Drosophila melanogaster: one gene and its partners. Changing the gene in region 2 together with the main gene of any one other region gives a genetic interaction. Each region holds a gene or a part of one and is shown on either strand. Other genes may lie near its edges.

The links.
Region 1: of spir (region 2) and capu, changing one suppresses a phenotype caused by changing the other (phenotypic suppression), as found in Drosophila melanogaster (one study listed by BioGRID).
Region 3: of spir (region 2) and mira, changing one suppresses a phenotype caused by changing the other (phenotypic suppression), as found in Drosophila melanogaster (one study listed by BioGRID).

The regions. Positions count from the first base shown.
Region 1 is NT_033779.5:3,899,514-3,904,620, forward strand, and holds the start of capu (cappuccino), read right to left. Parts: upstream 3,348-5,107; 5' UTR 3,082-3,347; intron 1-3,081. UniProt on the Drosophila melanogaster protein: Acts as an actin nucleation factor and promotes assembly of actin filaments together with spir. May play a role in intracellular vesicle transport along actin fibers, providing a novel link between actin cytoskeleton dynamics and intracellular transport.
Region 2 is NT_033779.5:20,308,971-20,314,257, forward strand, and holds the start of spir (spire), read left to right. Parts: upstream 1-2,248; 5' UTR 2,249-2,849; coding exon 2,850-3,444; intron 3,445-5,287.
Region 3 is NT_033777.3:19,931,187-19,936,739, forward strand, and holds mira (miranda), read right to left. Parts: upstream 3,813-5,553; 5' UTR 3,488-3,812; coding exon 998-3,487; 3' UTR 848-997; downstream 1-847.

The sequences.
Region 1 (5,107 bases), about 16 Mb from region 2:
ATTTTTATTTGCCTCTAGTTAATTTCAACTGTGAAAAACCATTTTGAAAACGGTGAGTGTGGTGCGTGGTTAAAGATACAAAAATCAGAACAAGTTTCAAAGAACAATTCTAAAAGTATTTATTCATAAAACAATCTTTAGTTACTGATTCTGTTGAGTTTTCATTTTTAAGCCGCATAATGGTCAAAAGTGTGATATTTTCTGGATTGCTATCGCGATTCATATAGCAGTGACACCTCACCGACACAGGGACTCACCCACACCGATACCTTCGCACACACACACACACACACACACACACAAACGCGCCGAGGGAAAGACAGAGACAGATAGACAGTTGGGGAACATTCGCATCGGACACCGTTTGCAGAGCTGCAACTTTAATTGCTTTGGTGGTTTGTGCCAAATTAGATTCTGCGGTTTTGTCGCGTCGCCATTCCGGTAATCGAGGGTGTACTGTACAACGGGGGTCAGAGTGTGATGGGCAAAGTGGGGTATGCGGGATGGTGTCTTGGCCATGGCCTTTTCCCCAAACTCCGTCGAGCTGAAGCCAAAAGCTGACGCTGACGCCCATCAATTAAACTTGTCAATGAGAATGCGATGCAACAGCAGGAACAGCAGAAATAGCGACAAGAACCCGGGGAATAAGAACTAATGGTGACGGTATGGGGGACTTGGAGCTTAGAACAAGGGTTATTGAAGGGAGCTCGAAACCAAACTAAATCGACTGAAAGTTAACTACATTTCACCCGCTTCGCTGGCATTCAAATTAGGTTTCTGTTCGAGACGTGTATATTGGTAATTTGATTGGAGTTTTAGAAATTGAATTCTAGCATGTTTCAAGAAATAATTATCGGCGATGCCACGGAAATCCACGGAACTCTGTATATGAGTTGTGCCAAGAAGAAATGTTTAAATTGTTTTTGTTTATAAAAACTTCTTCTTAAAGGTCACTTGAATATTTAAATTTGCCACAGGCACCTGAAAATACTTCCAAATGCAATCAGCATGGTCCCAGGTATAAGTGGCTTTACATACGCAAGTCGTGCAAATATTATTCCACTTTCCGTTGAATTTGGAATATTTGCAAAAGAATCTAAGGAAAAATGCCTGGCGTCTTTCGAAATTTCCATTTCTCGAAAGCCGCCGGCCATTGACATGACTCTGCGGACTTATCCTGTTGTTCGGTCCTGTCGTTATGGACTCTGTCCTATCTACTATCTTAACAATTGTGCGCACCAAGAAATTGATTTATTTTTGTTTACGCCAAAACAGCAAAAAGTTTACCACATTTTCTGCTCCTTCTCTCCAACTTGCCGTTGGCCAAGTTTTAGTTGGCTTATTGCGTTTGCACTGAAAATCAGAAGTATGTTTCTCAGGATTATTCAATATTTTTCTAACAACTACTTGGCATTTAATTTCTGATATTCCCACGAGCTAAGTAGAATTTTTATTTAATACCTTTAAAGAAGTATATTTAATAGTACAAATTAGACCTAATTATCTTCTCTCTGTGCAGTGCTTTGTTATCCGCTGCTTGGGAACAGTCGGTCTAATCCTAATGCTCCCTAATTACATTGGCCAGCAAGTCAACACAGTCTAGGCCAAGTTTCCCCGCTGCCTATTTGAGTTGGTCATGTCGCTATCTGCTTTCCAGCCCTCTTATCATTTTTTAGACCCATCTTAAAGACACTCCTAATTATTGGCCCTCTGGCGCACAATGCGGCCAGTGAACTGGCTGTTCTGGATTTCTTTTTTTTTTGCCGTTGAGCCCTGTTTATGTGGTTCGACGACACCTGGCGACATCAATTAGGGGGCAGGAATGAGCTCTTCGAAATGGAAAATCGTGGGAAAGTGGCGCCTCATACTGGCCGACAAATGTCAAGATGGCTGCAAATCTCTTTTGCTCTGAAAATCTGAGGTGTTGATAAAGGTGCGATTGAAAAGTTTGATCAATGATACTATTTAAGATTGAAAAGGGTTTCTCGTTATATATTTAGGAAGCAATTTTTCACACTTATTTTTATTTAGTTTTTAATCTCTTACAGTGCCTGCATAATTTGTATGCTTTTTATGCGCAAACATACAGCGCCGCAGCTTAACAAGCATTTTTTTATTTATTTCCCTCATATAAAGAATAATTTTTTTTCCTTCTTCCGCACTGTGGAAATTTATGAAGGGCCCTCGAAATGGCCTACGACCTCTATTCTGCCCCCAAACACATTCCCCAACCCCCGTCAGGTTGCAGCTGGGGGGTGAAAAAAAAAAACGTGGAAAACATCAGACGAGCAAAATGGCGAGCAATAAAAATAATTGCAAAATTCGAGATTCAGGTGGGGGCATGCGGCACGCTTAAAGTGGCACCTCTCTTAGCCACGCCCCCAAGTTTCCAAACCTCTCGCCCCTATTCCACACTTGGCAAACAATGGTGAACAGTGAAACAAAATGTTCATTGCAGTGTAAAATCTGCGAATCGCGGTTTTCTTTTTTTTCACTTTTCCCTCGGTTTGTGTGTGTTTTCGCGTTTTACAATCTGTTTCGCAACTCACGTAAAATATAAGGTAATTTGTGGAAATTTGATGTTTATCGTAAATTGTTTTTTATTTGCACAATGTCACCATTTTGCGGTTTGCCAGCAGCGCAAACTCACACACACACGCAGACTGACAAGCAACACACACACAGGCACGCATTGGTGGTCAGAGTTGCCAAGCAGTCAAAAAATAAAATTCCACAAAAATTGAGTTTTAAAGTTGCGAAATAATTGAATACACTTTTTAAAATCAAAACAAAAATCTGTTAAGTGCAATGATTGTTAAAAATACTAGTGTTGTGCCTAAGTTGTAGTAATTAAAAATAATATATATGAAGATTATTAATTATATATTATACATATATACTGGTCTTTAAATCTGATAAATCATTAATGGTCATTGTTGTTTAATGCTCAGATAGGCAAAATATATTCAGTTTCTGTAAGAATATCTGACAGTCGATCTACATTTTTCCACCTTAATTGTGCGCACCGCAAAAAGAGCATAGATAGATGGTAAAAACAATTGCAAACATTTTTCAATTTACCTGCATGGCGGAGAGGACTTTCCTCCTTTTGTTGTTTACTCCATTTTTTATTGCGTTTTTCTGTGGGCCCAATATTTTGGGCTTAATTGTGGCACGAATACCCCATTGCAGAAGGGCTAACAATGTGATGGCTATGACCATCATAGCCGGATAGAGCTCTTCCATTGGATACACAATCATCTTACCAAAACGATATACAACAAAAAAAAGGAAACGAAAAATTACACAAATTTTGACAGAATTTTGTATGCCTAACCCAATTGAACGGTGTAGACGAACTGCTTGTTTTAAATTTCATTTTATTTACTTTATAATTATCGTATATTCTGATTTACATTGTATAATATATCGTATATCATTACTGTCTAGGTTTACAATTAAAATTAGTTTAAACTTTTGGTTTCGCACTAAAAAGGTCAGTAAAATGTTTCAATCGCCTGGCGTGAACATTTCTGTTCTCTCGGTTCTTTTTTTTTTTAAAAGCAGATTTAATAGTTTACATTTAGTTTGAGTAAAAATTATAGAACGAAAATGGACAGTTTAATATAGTCGCAGACTTAGACTAAAGTTATTGGCTATTTTGATCATATTTGGTTTTGGATTACCAGTACATCTTTGTTTATATCTAGGTGGATACTTGAAAAATGCGTGGGTGGTCTGAGTTTGTTCGGGGACTAAATAAAACTCCTTAACTATTTTTAAAACTATTTTTTTATTATACATAGTTAAAAGTAAGATCATTAATTAAATAAGAAATACCATTTATAGATGTATCTTACTCAACGCCACAGTAACCCATTCATAAAAATGCAGATATTATTCACTATTCTAATAAATATTTTCGATTATGTTTTAAACACATTTATTTCAAATTAAATTTCTAAACTCTTTGGTTTACTCTGTTTATCTATTTACAATGTCCTTAAATCTTTAATATCCATTAAATAGTTTTTATCGCTAAGAGAAATTTATGTAACCTTCATTCAAAAACGAAATTATTTTATTTTACTAAATTCCTTGCTTCCGCTTGCAATTATTCAAATAAAATACTGATACATTTTTCATTTTTAATGCTCACATATTACGTTTTTATTTTGTTTGTTAAAAGTATCAATTATGTGGATTTATTACTCAAATATTTCATAACAGAGCTAAACAAGTATTGGATTAAAGATAATTCCCCCTTCTTTTATACTTTGCTGTGCAATTAAATATTTTGTGTATTTTTACAATATCACTGAGTGCTCAAGGGTTTTACTAACAATCGAAAGCAAGCAAAGAATTCTGTACAACTGATTGTTTTTACAACCCATTTCGATTTTATAATTTTAGAGCGAAAAAAGAAAGCAAAAAGGAATTTGTATCATTTTTGTTTCATCCGCAAGTTGGGAGAAAGTTTTGCTATAGTTGGCTGATGATTTTTCGGTAATCACCTTTCACAAATGAAGGTGAAAAGTAAATAAAAGTATTTGTATTGAACTTTTCACCCAGTTGTAGTTTACAAAATCGGTTTTAAGCTTCCCGCAGTTTAAAATTTAATTCGAATTCGTTTTGATGTCTGTTGATTATTCCATTTGCCGGCTATTATGATTTTATTTTAAAGATTTTCTCTTTTTGCTAAAAGATACTGTTTCTATTTGAATTTCCATATTTTTGCGGTCTTGTATGACGCTGTGTAGATATTTTTTTTGTTAGCCTATTTTTATGTAAATGCAACTCACTTGGACTTTTGACTGGCAGTACTAAATTTTCAAGTTTTTTTTTTAGCAGTTGCAATTTAATGACTCCATGTTCTACTATTTACAGATTGCACAGTAAATAAATTGATATTGTGTGCTCTGATTTTGCCGAGCTGAATTGCACGGAGCTCTTTGTGCAATGGCAAATTAATTTGCAAATTTACACAATCTAATTTTAGGTCACCGAGGGACCCAGACGACCAATTGTTAATTTGTAATTACAATTTTTGCATTATTATTGCTTGCCGACAATGCGAACAATTGAAATTAGCAGCGCAATTAGTCGA
Region 2 (5,287 bases):
CACGACTTATGTCCCATTTTGATATGGGGAAAATTAGTCTTTATTTGTATATCAAAAGTACAAATAGAATTTTAACTTTGAGAATTGGTCAATTATTGTTATCTCGATCAGATATAAATATAGCTCGAAATTTTAATAGGTCTAAACTGTTGTTAAACATATTTTTACTTGATAGATGAATTCATTATACTCAGTTTACATCGGTTGCAATTTGCAATTTTACAATATTATTACTTATTTTAAGTTTAGGACTGAGTATAATGTGTTAGTTATGAAATGGGTCCCTGATAAGTTAGTAATTTTGTTGCAGCGGAAACCGCATCGACAACATTAATATAATATTTGGGCGGTTGAGGCTATGGCGTATAACGCAGCCCGCCGCTTTACTTCGCACCACGAAGTTGTTGATTGATGGCTGCAAGGCGCTCTTTGTAGCGCTGCCGGTCTTCCTCATTAGTTGCCGTCTTCAGTAGTTCGATGTTGAGCCTCCGGGCGCTGAGCAACTTAATCCGGCGGCCACCCCTCTTCTTTTTAGGTGGCTGCTCCCTCGCTGCAGTCCGTGCCTTGTACTCTTGTATGGTCAAGGGCTTTGGTCCCGCGGACGGATCTACCTCTATTACCTCTTTGATACTTGGCAGATCCCTTTGCTCGACAGGAGCAGGGTGTTCGAACGTCTGCTTGGTAGACATTCGCTGTTGTCATGTGCGGCGCGCCGGTGGAATCCTTTATCCTTTATCCTAATCCTACCCTCGCAGGATGCCGTGCTAATTGCTGTTGCGGCTTACAATGGTCGAGGGCAGTCGTTCATGCAGACGTCGGGTCTTTTCGGCTTGGGTGATGTTGAATTTTCAGTTATTTCTTCATTGATTATTTCTATTTTTGCTGAGTGAGTTGTGGTATTCGGCTTTCTTTGCTGGAGGTTTTCTTTCAGAAAGTCTAATTCGGCAGTTAATTTCGGTGCCGTTGCCCATGGGGGCGGTGTTTTATTTGTATATCATAGCCACTTAATATGTGCTATACCTTTATTTTTGATTTCCTGACATCCGCGTTTGCCCATTACCACACTCTACTCACTCAGTATTTTTGTTTCTTTTTTTTTTCATCAGTGTCCCGTCTCTAGGTCTCCCGCACTGGTGTAAGGGGCGGCCTGCCTCTCACACCTGTTGTCGCTGTTTAGAATTCCCAAATCAAATCGGCAATATTAGCAGCATTTCCTCAGTAGTCCTCAGATCGCAGGCTCCTGCCTCACGGTCGCCATGTAATAAACCAATATATGCCACCAATTGAGAACACGTGTTTTCCTTGCAGTTGGGTGCAGCCGTCAGGCCACCTTTTTATTTCTTCTTATCTCTTCGAGTAGCAGAAACGGTTCTGCCCGCTTAACCTCTACAGAGTGTCTAATCTTACCTAAATACTGCGACTGCGCCGCCGTCGACAGCGGCAGAAGAGCAGCGTATATATATATGTATAAGAGAGAGAGAGAGAGAGCTTATGCGCATATATGGCCAGCGGCCAGCGTGGGGATGCTGACTTAGCTTAAAGCATAAATGGGTGATCTTATATCACGCTCACTTGAGACATTTATTTATGCAATGCAACTAAGTGTTGCTGTGTACTTATAGGTACAGTGTACCCTCGATATATGCACATACTACAATATATTCTTGTAATCAATGTTTATATTATGTAAATCAGCTGTCGCTCCCCAAAAATTCCTTAATTCCAATTAGAAGACAACGAAAAAATTTCTCTTTATTTACGAATAAAAATTGTCCCTCAACTCCAATTGGAACGGCTGATCCGTCAACATTTTAGTCGGCAACACTTTAGTCTGCAACATTTGGGAATGTTGCATCATCTTGTTGCTATGCATGTTTCCACGGAAAAAGAGAGTATATCATAACAAGAGACCATTCACTTTTTTCGTTTTGAAGCAACAAATTTGAAAAGAGAAAACTTTATGTTTTTCCCGCGGGCTTGTTTGTTTTTTTTTTCTCGCTCTCCGTCGAATTGACTCTACATTTTGATGTGATCTTATTATTAGGTGAATCAGCTGTCTTCAAAAGAACAGTTTTAATTAAAAAAAAAATCCCTCAATTCCAATTCAAATTTCATTTAGAACACAACGAAGATATTTCTCTTCTTGTACGAACAAAATGCTCTCTTAACTCAAGTTGGAACGGCCGTTCCGGCAACATTTAAGTTGGTAACATTGTTGCATGCTGCATGCATTTGAGCACAAGAGTGTCATTTACGATTAGCAACTCGCGGCGAACGGACGTGTGTAAAAAATAGCCGGTGAGAAAAAACGAAGTGCGATTGCCGAAGAAAAACAGAGAGATTTCAAATAATAAAGAAATGCAAATGAAACAGAAGAAAATAAAAATAAAGCAAAGTGCGTGATTTCCATCTCCTCAGTGTTGTGAAATTTCTAGCAGAGTCTAACGGCGATTTGCGAATGCCGACTTAAGAAGTGCGAAAACAAAAACGTGACGCCAGTTTAAAATATTCTCAAGCGAAAATCATGTGTTTTTTGTTATACCCTGTGCTTTGTGTTTAATGTAGCTGACGACAAACAAAATATTAGAATCGTGTACGTCGGGAATCCGAATTCCATCCCCTCGTGTTGTGTTATTATTGTATTAAAGTTTCCTTTGCCATTTACCACACACAACACAGAAAAACAACAACAACAAAACTAAACCAAAATCGAACCAAAAACAAACCGCGAATTTTGCAGGTTAGCCCACCCGAAAGAGGCAAAAAAATCAATTATATGTTGGCCAGTGCCGGGTTTGCAGTGGAATCGGGTTGAAAGCCATCGATAGCCACACACGCCCACACACATAATGACGGAGCACCAGGCCGAGGAGCAGGCGGACACGCCGCCCACCAAGGTCAAGGCCACGCCCACACCCACCCCGAGTGGAAAGTTCAAGGACGCGAAGGAAGACGCCTTCCTGTCCACATCGCCGGACAGCGCCAACGGCGATGCCCAACACAAGCTGCCAGCGGACCAGCTGGCCATGTCCTCCAGTGCGCATCCCCAGCAGGCGGGCCAAGCCCGCCCGCTCATCCTGCAAGCCTTCCACCGCTGCTCCTCGCCAGAACAGTGCGTCACGCTGCACGACATCCTGGACTCCTTTAAGGCGCCGCTCTCCGAGGACCAGGCCTGGGCCCTGATCCACCAGTTCGCCGGGCTCTACCACCAGGTGGCCGTACAAGCGCACACCTGTGCCGCGGACTACGAGGCCGCCCTGCCCACCGGATTCGAGCTGCACTTCCATCGCGACGGCAGCGTCCACTTCTCCGGCCCGGATCAGCTGACGCCTAAGGAGCAACTGCAGCAGGAGCAGATCCCCCTCCCCCCGCAGCACGACGTGATTGTGGATCAGCCGGACCACAGCGCCAGCAGCAGCGGCGACAGCAGCGTCATCAACAGAGGTAAGCAGACCGACCTACTGAAAAATCAATATGCATACATATTTCTCACGGCTACAGTTAGCGGAAATTAATATTCCTGCAGTTTATGCCAGTTGTTTAATTAACGGAAATTAACTTAGTATGAATCTTCTATTCCTTGAATTTTTAATTTATTATTTTTTAAATCATGCTGAAAATATTTGAACTAAAATTGATCTATAGTCATAGTTATTAATGTTATAACATTTATTTATTAACGTGCTGCACACAACTGGCAATCTTTAGAATCTATATAGAAGTGGAAATGTTCAATACAACATTGATCAACTAACAATTTGGATTGATAACCTAATGAACCTGCCAACCCCAAATGACATTTTAATGTCGTTTTTCCTTACAATTATAGTAACATGTTTTAATCACAAATAATTTATTGTACATTGCACGCAAATGCAATTTGACTACCTTTAAGCTAGCAACCCGTGTATATTCTTTCGACTTTGTGTTAAGTTCTGTATCCTTTGAGCAATATTTCCTATTATTTTTTATGAGTCTTCCTAAAGATATATATATAGTTTATGTGTATTTCGGCCCGTCAGAGGTCAGTTGGGTGTTGACTTCAGATGCGGAACTGTAACAGTGATGAAAACTGGGGCTGTGATTAGCTGGGCCGGAAAACCGGTTGCGCTGATGCCTCTCCGAATGCTGAGGGGTCTTTGTCTTTTCGGCAAACGCTTTCATTTTCAGTTAATAAGCCACAGTTAACTTCTTTCTCTCGGCCTTTTATTTTCGGACATCTGCCGTGATGTGGGTTTCCGTGTGCCATCCATCTGACTATTGGCATCGCCCGGCCATCGCCAGCGGAGTCCCCAGCGCTTTCCAAACAAACAACCCACACTATCCGCCATCCGATGATGACCTCTGCATTTAAGTTATGCAGCCAGCCAGCTTTGATTGGGGTTTTCCCCACTTCTGCCTTCTGTCTGATTGCGTGCTGGCTTGGGAAAGTGTAAACGGCGACTCCCATGAAGAAGGTACCATCCCAGTACCCTATCAGCAGTGTTTTTCACTTTCTTTTGTAGCTCGGAGAGCACAAGTATCACTGGAAGAAAGGCAGGTCATGTTCGGATTGGGCAGAAGATTGAACGCTTTTCCTTGCCGCAATACAATCGAATCCAAATCTACGAAAGTAGATTTTTTCCAGTGTAACGATCACAGCCTTTCCTTTCGGCATTCCCCCTGCATTCGCTGTAATTGATGGGGGGATACTTTTTCGCCTCTCGATCTCTGAATCTACAGAACGTGTCTGAGTCTGTCTCGCAGCTAATTGTTTAATCATTCGTCTGCGCGGGGACTGTCAAAATACAGGTCGGTAATCTATCGACTTTTAGATAAGCCACGTTAATTGGAAAATGCGTTTCTGAGTGGGTAGTGATGGGAATCTTGGATTTCGTTCTCCTAGGTGGCCCTTAATGTGACTCAGCTCAGCTTTTGGTCTGCAGCATTAACTGCATTCCATTGCATCTTTCTTCGTATGGGCCTGTCTATCTCTATTTGGCCAGGCCAACTCTGCCTATAGCCGGCTTTTGTATCAGCGTGGCCAATTAGTTAGCTCTTATAGACAATTAGCCAGTTACATGGGTAATCTTAAGGGCACGCAGATACAGGAAGTTACAGTATTAATTGAACTGTGTAACTCGGAGGTGAAGGAACTATAGATGGCTGATAATGCTGTAGGAAGTCCTAGGGGATTTTAAAACCCATTTCAGTATACTACTTAAAATTCAGAAATTTTCTTTTATAAATAACTTAAAAAATGTTCTTAGCTCTTAAACCTCTGTAATTAAAGGTCTGTGATCGTCAA
Region 3 (5,553 bases), on a different chromosome or scaffold from region 2:
ACGGGGAAGGAAAAGGAGCGGAAAAACAAAGAAAGGTGAGGGAAAACCCCGTCAACAGGCTTAAGTCACAGTTAATGAAGCGAGCTTGCAACTACCAGTGGTTGGTGGTGCATGGGCATTTCCCTTCGTTTTCGGCCCCTTCTTAAAAGACGGTTGAGTTAAGCCACCCTTGAGGAGGAAGCGCAGGCGCAGCTGTTCCGATTCGCTCGAGGAACTAAGGAACTGCGCAACTCTGGAACCGTTCCCATCGAGTAACCATCGGGGATAAGGCGGTGCCAAGGGACACGTGTGCGTAATCAGCGTCGCAAGAATCCATCGGATTGCATGGCAGCCCACACCCCTTCCTTCTCATTCTTCAACGAGGAGTTTCAGCATGAGAAAATTCCACCACATCGAAATCAAAAACGAGTTGCACGGGGTTGGTATGAAAAACGTAAACAATTTCCTGATTCTTTAGGTACAGGCTTTTTTAAATGCATATACAAGATATAACGTATTTTAAGAACGAAGTTCAAGGTGATGATACTGTACACTTCTACATTTTAGATCAGAATACCTTTTATTTCTTTTTTTTTTTTACAGATAATTTGACCTTATATGAATAAATTGGCTAATAAATGGAAAAAATAATTGATGCATTCTCATTATTTTCGTTACATTCAAAGATGAGTCTATTTAATTTAAATAGCTTTAAAGAAGGTCTCACTTTCCAAGACACCTTTTTCAGATTTTTTATTTGATTTCTCATGCCTTAAAATGCATTGCATCAAAATGATATTTTTTATGAGATTAGGTAAGTCCCATATTTCCAGAACACAAACGCGAAAGATAGAAAACAATCAGATTTGGAATTTAGTCGGAGAGTGCTCGAAAGAGATTTCAGAAACACCTCTGGCTGTGTTGTGTGCAACGTGTATTGATTATATTTCGAATCGGATCTTAGCTAAGGTATATAATTTATAATAGTACGATAGAGTAGTTGTTACAAAGGAATAGCCTAGATGTTGCGCGCCTTGAGCACCTGCTTCTGTGGCGGACTGGGCACGTTCTCCTTGCCGGCGAACAGGACAGTCTTCTTGGGAGTGCTGGCCGCCGATCGTGGTGTTCGTGGGGTGTGGGGGGTGCGCGGACTGCGCGGGGTGTGCGGCGCCTTGGGTGTGCGGGGGGCGGGACGGGGCGAGGACTTGCCGGCGGACAGGAGCTCGTTGATCTCGCTGGTGGTATCCTGGCGCACGCACTTGTCCGAGGAGTTGAGCAGCCACGTGGTGATCTTCTCGCAGTCGGATCGCAGCTCCGAGTCGCACAGCAGATCCTCGATCTTCTCCAGATCGGTGGTATTGGAGCGGTTGGCCTTGCCAGGTGTTCCCAGCAGAGAGGCGGATCCCGGTTGCTTGGACTTGAGGGCAATGTTCTCCAGCTTGAGCTGTTCGCACTCCTCGCGCACCTTAACAAGCATCTGCTCCTTGTTGTCCAGCTCCAATTGGGCGAACTGCAGCACGGTGGCGAATTCATCGAGCGCCTTCTTCATGTCCACCATGTAGGCCTCGCGCGTCTCGTCCTTGCGGCGCAGCTCGTGGTAGTGGGCCAACTGGGCGTCGCCATCGATGCGCTCCTGGAACGAGTTTGCAATCTGATTGAATTTAGCCAACGTCTCCGCCTCGCCGGCTAGCAGCTCGTGGAGCAAGGACTCCTTCAACGATACCTCGCTCTGCAGCGTCTGGGAGGAGGATCTCAGTGCGTTGAGCGCATCCTGGCTCTCGGTCAATTGCTGGCGCAGTTGCTCTGCGTCCGCCTGCAACACCAGATAGCTCTGCTCCAGCGCTCCCTTGGCCAACTGCACCGATTCCAGCTCCGCTCGGTACTGCTCCACATCCGCATCGGACTTCTTTAGACGCTCCATCAGAATGTTGACGGTGGCCCGGGTGTTGGTCAAAGTCAGCTGGTAGTTGTACTTCTCGGTGATCGTCTTGGCCATGTCCTGCTTCAGCTGCACCAGCTGCTGCTGCAGTGCGTCGCTCAGCTGGATGTAGTAGTCGATGCCGTTGCGCAACTGCTCTTCGCATTTCTGCAGCTTCTCGTCGCGCATGCGCAGCATATCATTGGTGGTCTCCAGCAGCACCATCACGTCCTGCTTCTCCAGCTCGATCTTGATCAGCTCGTTCTCGGCCAGCTTCTGGCGCTTGTCCAGCTCGGCGCGCCAGTAGCTCTTCTCGCGCTCCACCGCGCTCTCTAGGTCGCTCTCAACCTGCTGCTGCACCTTGGCCACCGCCTGCTGCTGCTCGGTGTGGCGAGCCTGTTCCCGGCACAGCTGGCGAATGGTATCGCAGTGAGCATCGATCTCGCAGTTCTTGTCGAGAAGCTCGTCTTGCAGCGAGCGGATCAGAGTGCACTTGTTGGCCAAGTCATTCTTCAGGGTGTTGCGCTCCACCTTCAGACACTCCAGTTCCGCCTGGCAGCTCTTGGCCTCCTGTCCGTAGGACAGGGCATCCTGTTCGATCTGCTGCTTCAGCTGGACCACGTCGGCCAGCAGGGAGGCATTGGTCTTCTGGAGATTCTCTACCAGCTCAATGTTCTCGGCGGTCTTTGCCTGCTCCAGGCTGCAGTGCTCGCGGGCCTGAGCCACATCCGCCTGAAGAGCAGAGAGTTGTGCCTGCAGCTGCTCCTCCACCTTTTGACGATCCTCATTCGCTGTCTGCAGCAGCTCGTTGGCCAGACGCAGTGCCTCGCTCTCGGCAACCAACGCCTCCACTTGCCTTTCATGCTCGTCGTGCTGTTGCTGCAACTGCTGCTCCATGGCGGCCAAACGCTCCAAAAGATCAGCGTGCTCCTGGCCCATCTGCTCGTTCAGAGCTTTGTGCGATAAATTCTCACTGGTCAGGGCTTCGATGAGCCGATCTGTCTTGGAGGTAGCCAACTCATGCTCCTCGCGCAACTTGGCCTCGGCTTCCTTCAACTGATCCACATGGCGGCGCAGCACGTCCAGTTGGCTCAACTGGCTCTCGATCAGTTCGTTTTTGTGACGGATTTCGTACTGGAGTGCCTCCTTGCCCTTCAGACGGCTGGCTGACTTGGCCTCCTTTACGGGCGTGGTGGCTGCCGAATGCAGAGGAGTGGATGCCGCTGTTGAGGCGCCACTTCCGCTTCCGGTGGCCGTATCCGTGTGACTGGGAGTCGGACGGAAGCGTAGGCGCTGCGGCAACGAAGGAGTACGGAACAGACGTAATCCCTTTGACTTTTTGTCCTCCTTGGGAATGGCAAATTCCTTGGCCTCCTTCGAGCTGGACGCGAAACGCACGGCGTCCTTGAAGAACTTCTCGATCTGCTCCTTGCGTTCCGGTTGAACGGTTGGCGGAGCAGCGGCTGCCGAAGACGCGGTGGGCGTGGCACTGCCCGCCGATCCCGCCGAGCTGTTGGACGCAGCTGGCGAACCGCAGATGGCCACATCCACGTCGTTGAAACGCTTCAACTTGGCCTTGGAGAAAGACATTTTCGAATTTGTTTTTTGGACTTTCGGTTTAACTTGGTAACGATTCTTTTCGGATTTTGTATCAATGTCTCATTAACAACGCTCGTTTAACTTTCGATATAACAATAACTCAACGATCAAACATAAACACAACTTTAACTTTCGGTTTAATTTGGTTATCTTTTCCTTAGGATTTTTAGGTAAACTGTTTAACAATATGGTAGTAGTCTGTAGTCGTATTTAATTCATCTGTACTTTGTGGTCCGTTCTGTGCTACACTAAACCCGCTATCCCGTTGCTACCCGTTTCACTGTACCTACGCGTTCCGCTGTCAAAACCTAACTGAGCTCACCTTCTGTCCAAGATCCCTGAGGCAGACATAGCCTCCAGCTGGCACAGCGAGTGGAAAAGGGATGGATAGAGTGTGGAAACGAGATAGACCCAGGGGAGGCAAAGAAAACAACCCTCGCTCGAGCAGGGGTCGCTTCAACGATCCTGCATTGCTTCACCTATGTGGGATATACCCAACATTTCAGGTTGGGTATTTCCGAGATCTTCAAACGAAAAATGGTTTATGGTTTTCATTTCGTAGGACTTTCATTTTAATCTAATAACATTAACATTGAATATAATAATTAGTGGACATAGAAAATAATATCACGACAATTTTGGATTTTTTAGATATTAGCTGAACAAAAATTTCATATTCCTTAAACATTCTAATGTTAATTTAATATTAGACAAGTCATTTGCAGACGGCATAATTCTTCTGATCTTAACCACTTTTCAATTTAAATTAAACATATAATATTATATATTTTCTATAATGTCCTCTTTTAAGAGTATCTAGAATTCAGGTAAGCCGAGTTATACGACTCCTAATTTTTTTTTTATTTGGTGGTAGTTCGTGCCACAGTTCTTGATCCCCTGTTCGTCTTATCTGTGTGTTTGTCAAGACGTCGGCCTCGTGTATATAAAGGAAATGTTTTCATTTTAGCGCGCGCAAATGTTGCAATTGTAGTTCAAGACAGCACGAGGAGGGTTCGAGACCGGAGTGGGGGTAGCAAGATGGGTAGGGGTGGAGATAGGACGACGGGGTTCCGCATTCCCCGGCTTAAGTACATATGGGAAATGTGCCGTTGCCGACGAACAGAGACACACTCACTCACATCTGCCTGGGCTTCTCCTTTCCTTCGAGGACTACAAGTAAATGCGATTGCTTTCGAGAATTGCGAGACTACGAGTACAAGGATATGAGCTGATGGCTGGATGGACTGCCTCATCCGTTAGCTCCAACACAGCTGGCAGCCAGCATAATTCGTTAATTTGATACGAAATCCGATGCCCGCATAATTAAAGGAAAATGCGTCGGAAATGGGCGAGTTGCGCCTGCGCAATGAGTTGAATGGAATTGAGGCTAAATGAATTGCATGGAAAATGGAAATGCGTCGGGAAAATTGATTTTTCATGTGATATCGCTAGGCAGTTGGGCAATCGGCCATCTATAATCTGTATAGAGAACCCCCTCATGATATCCTGCTGATCCTGCGGTAGCTGCCTGTGCATCCTGTCATTTTTTCACTTCTTTTCTCCAGTGAGTTTGTCACAACTGCCAACTGAAATCAGCTGGTTGTTCCTTTGATGGCAAACAATGACCGGAAGATTCTAGCAACTGGGAGGTGATAATTCTAGGTTAAAGCAGACAAGCATGAAATTCTGGGTGGGTCAGCCACACACAGCTGTGCAAAAGAATTATAATGTAGAAAGACAATGTAGGGAGCCATAGGACAAGGGAAATCGTTTGGAAATCAATAGAATATTAATACTCAAGCATTACTTTTTAATTTATATTTATGCTTCACAACCTTTGTCAATTTATATAGTTCATGTACATAATATGTATGTATATAAGGTTACGAAACCATCCTTTGGTTTCATAGAGGTAATATTTTCCCATAAACATATTTGCATTTGATTTTCCCAAACTCTCTTATAATAAAAATGGAAATTTTACGAAAAAGGGTTTTCATTATTCGCTGATCCAATGATGTGCAGGACTCACAGTAATATTAATGATGTTAATGACA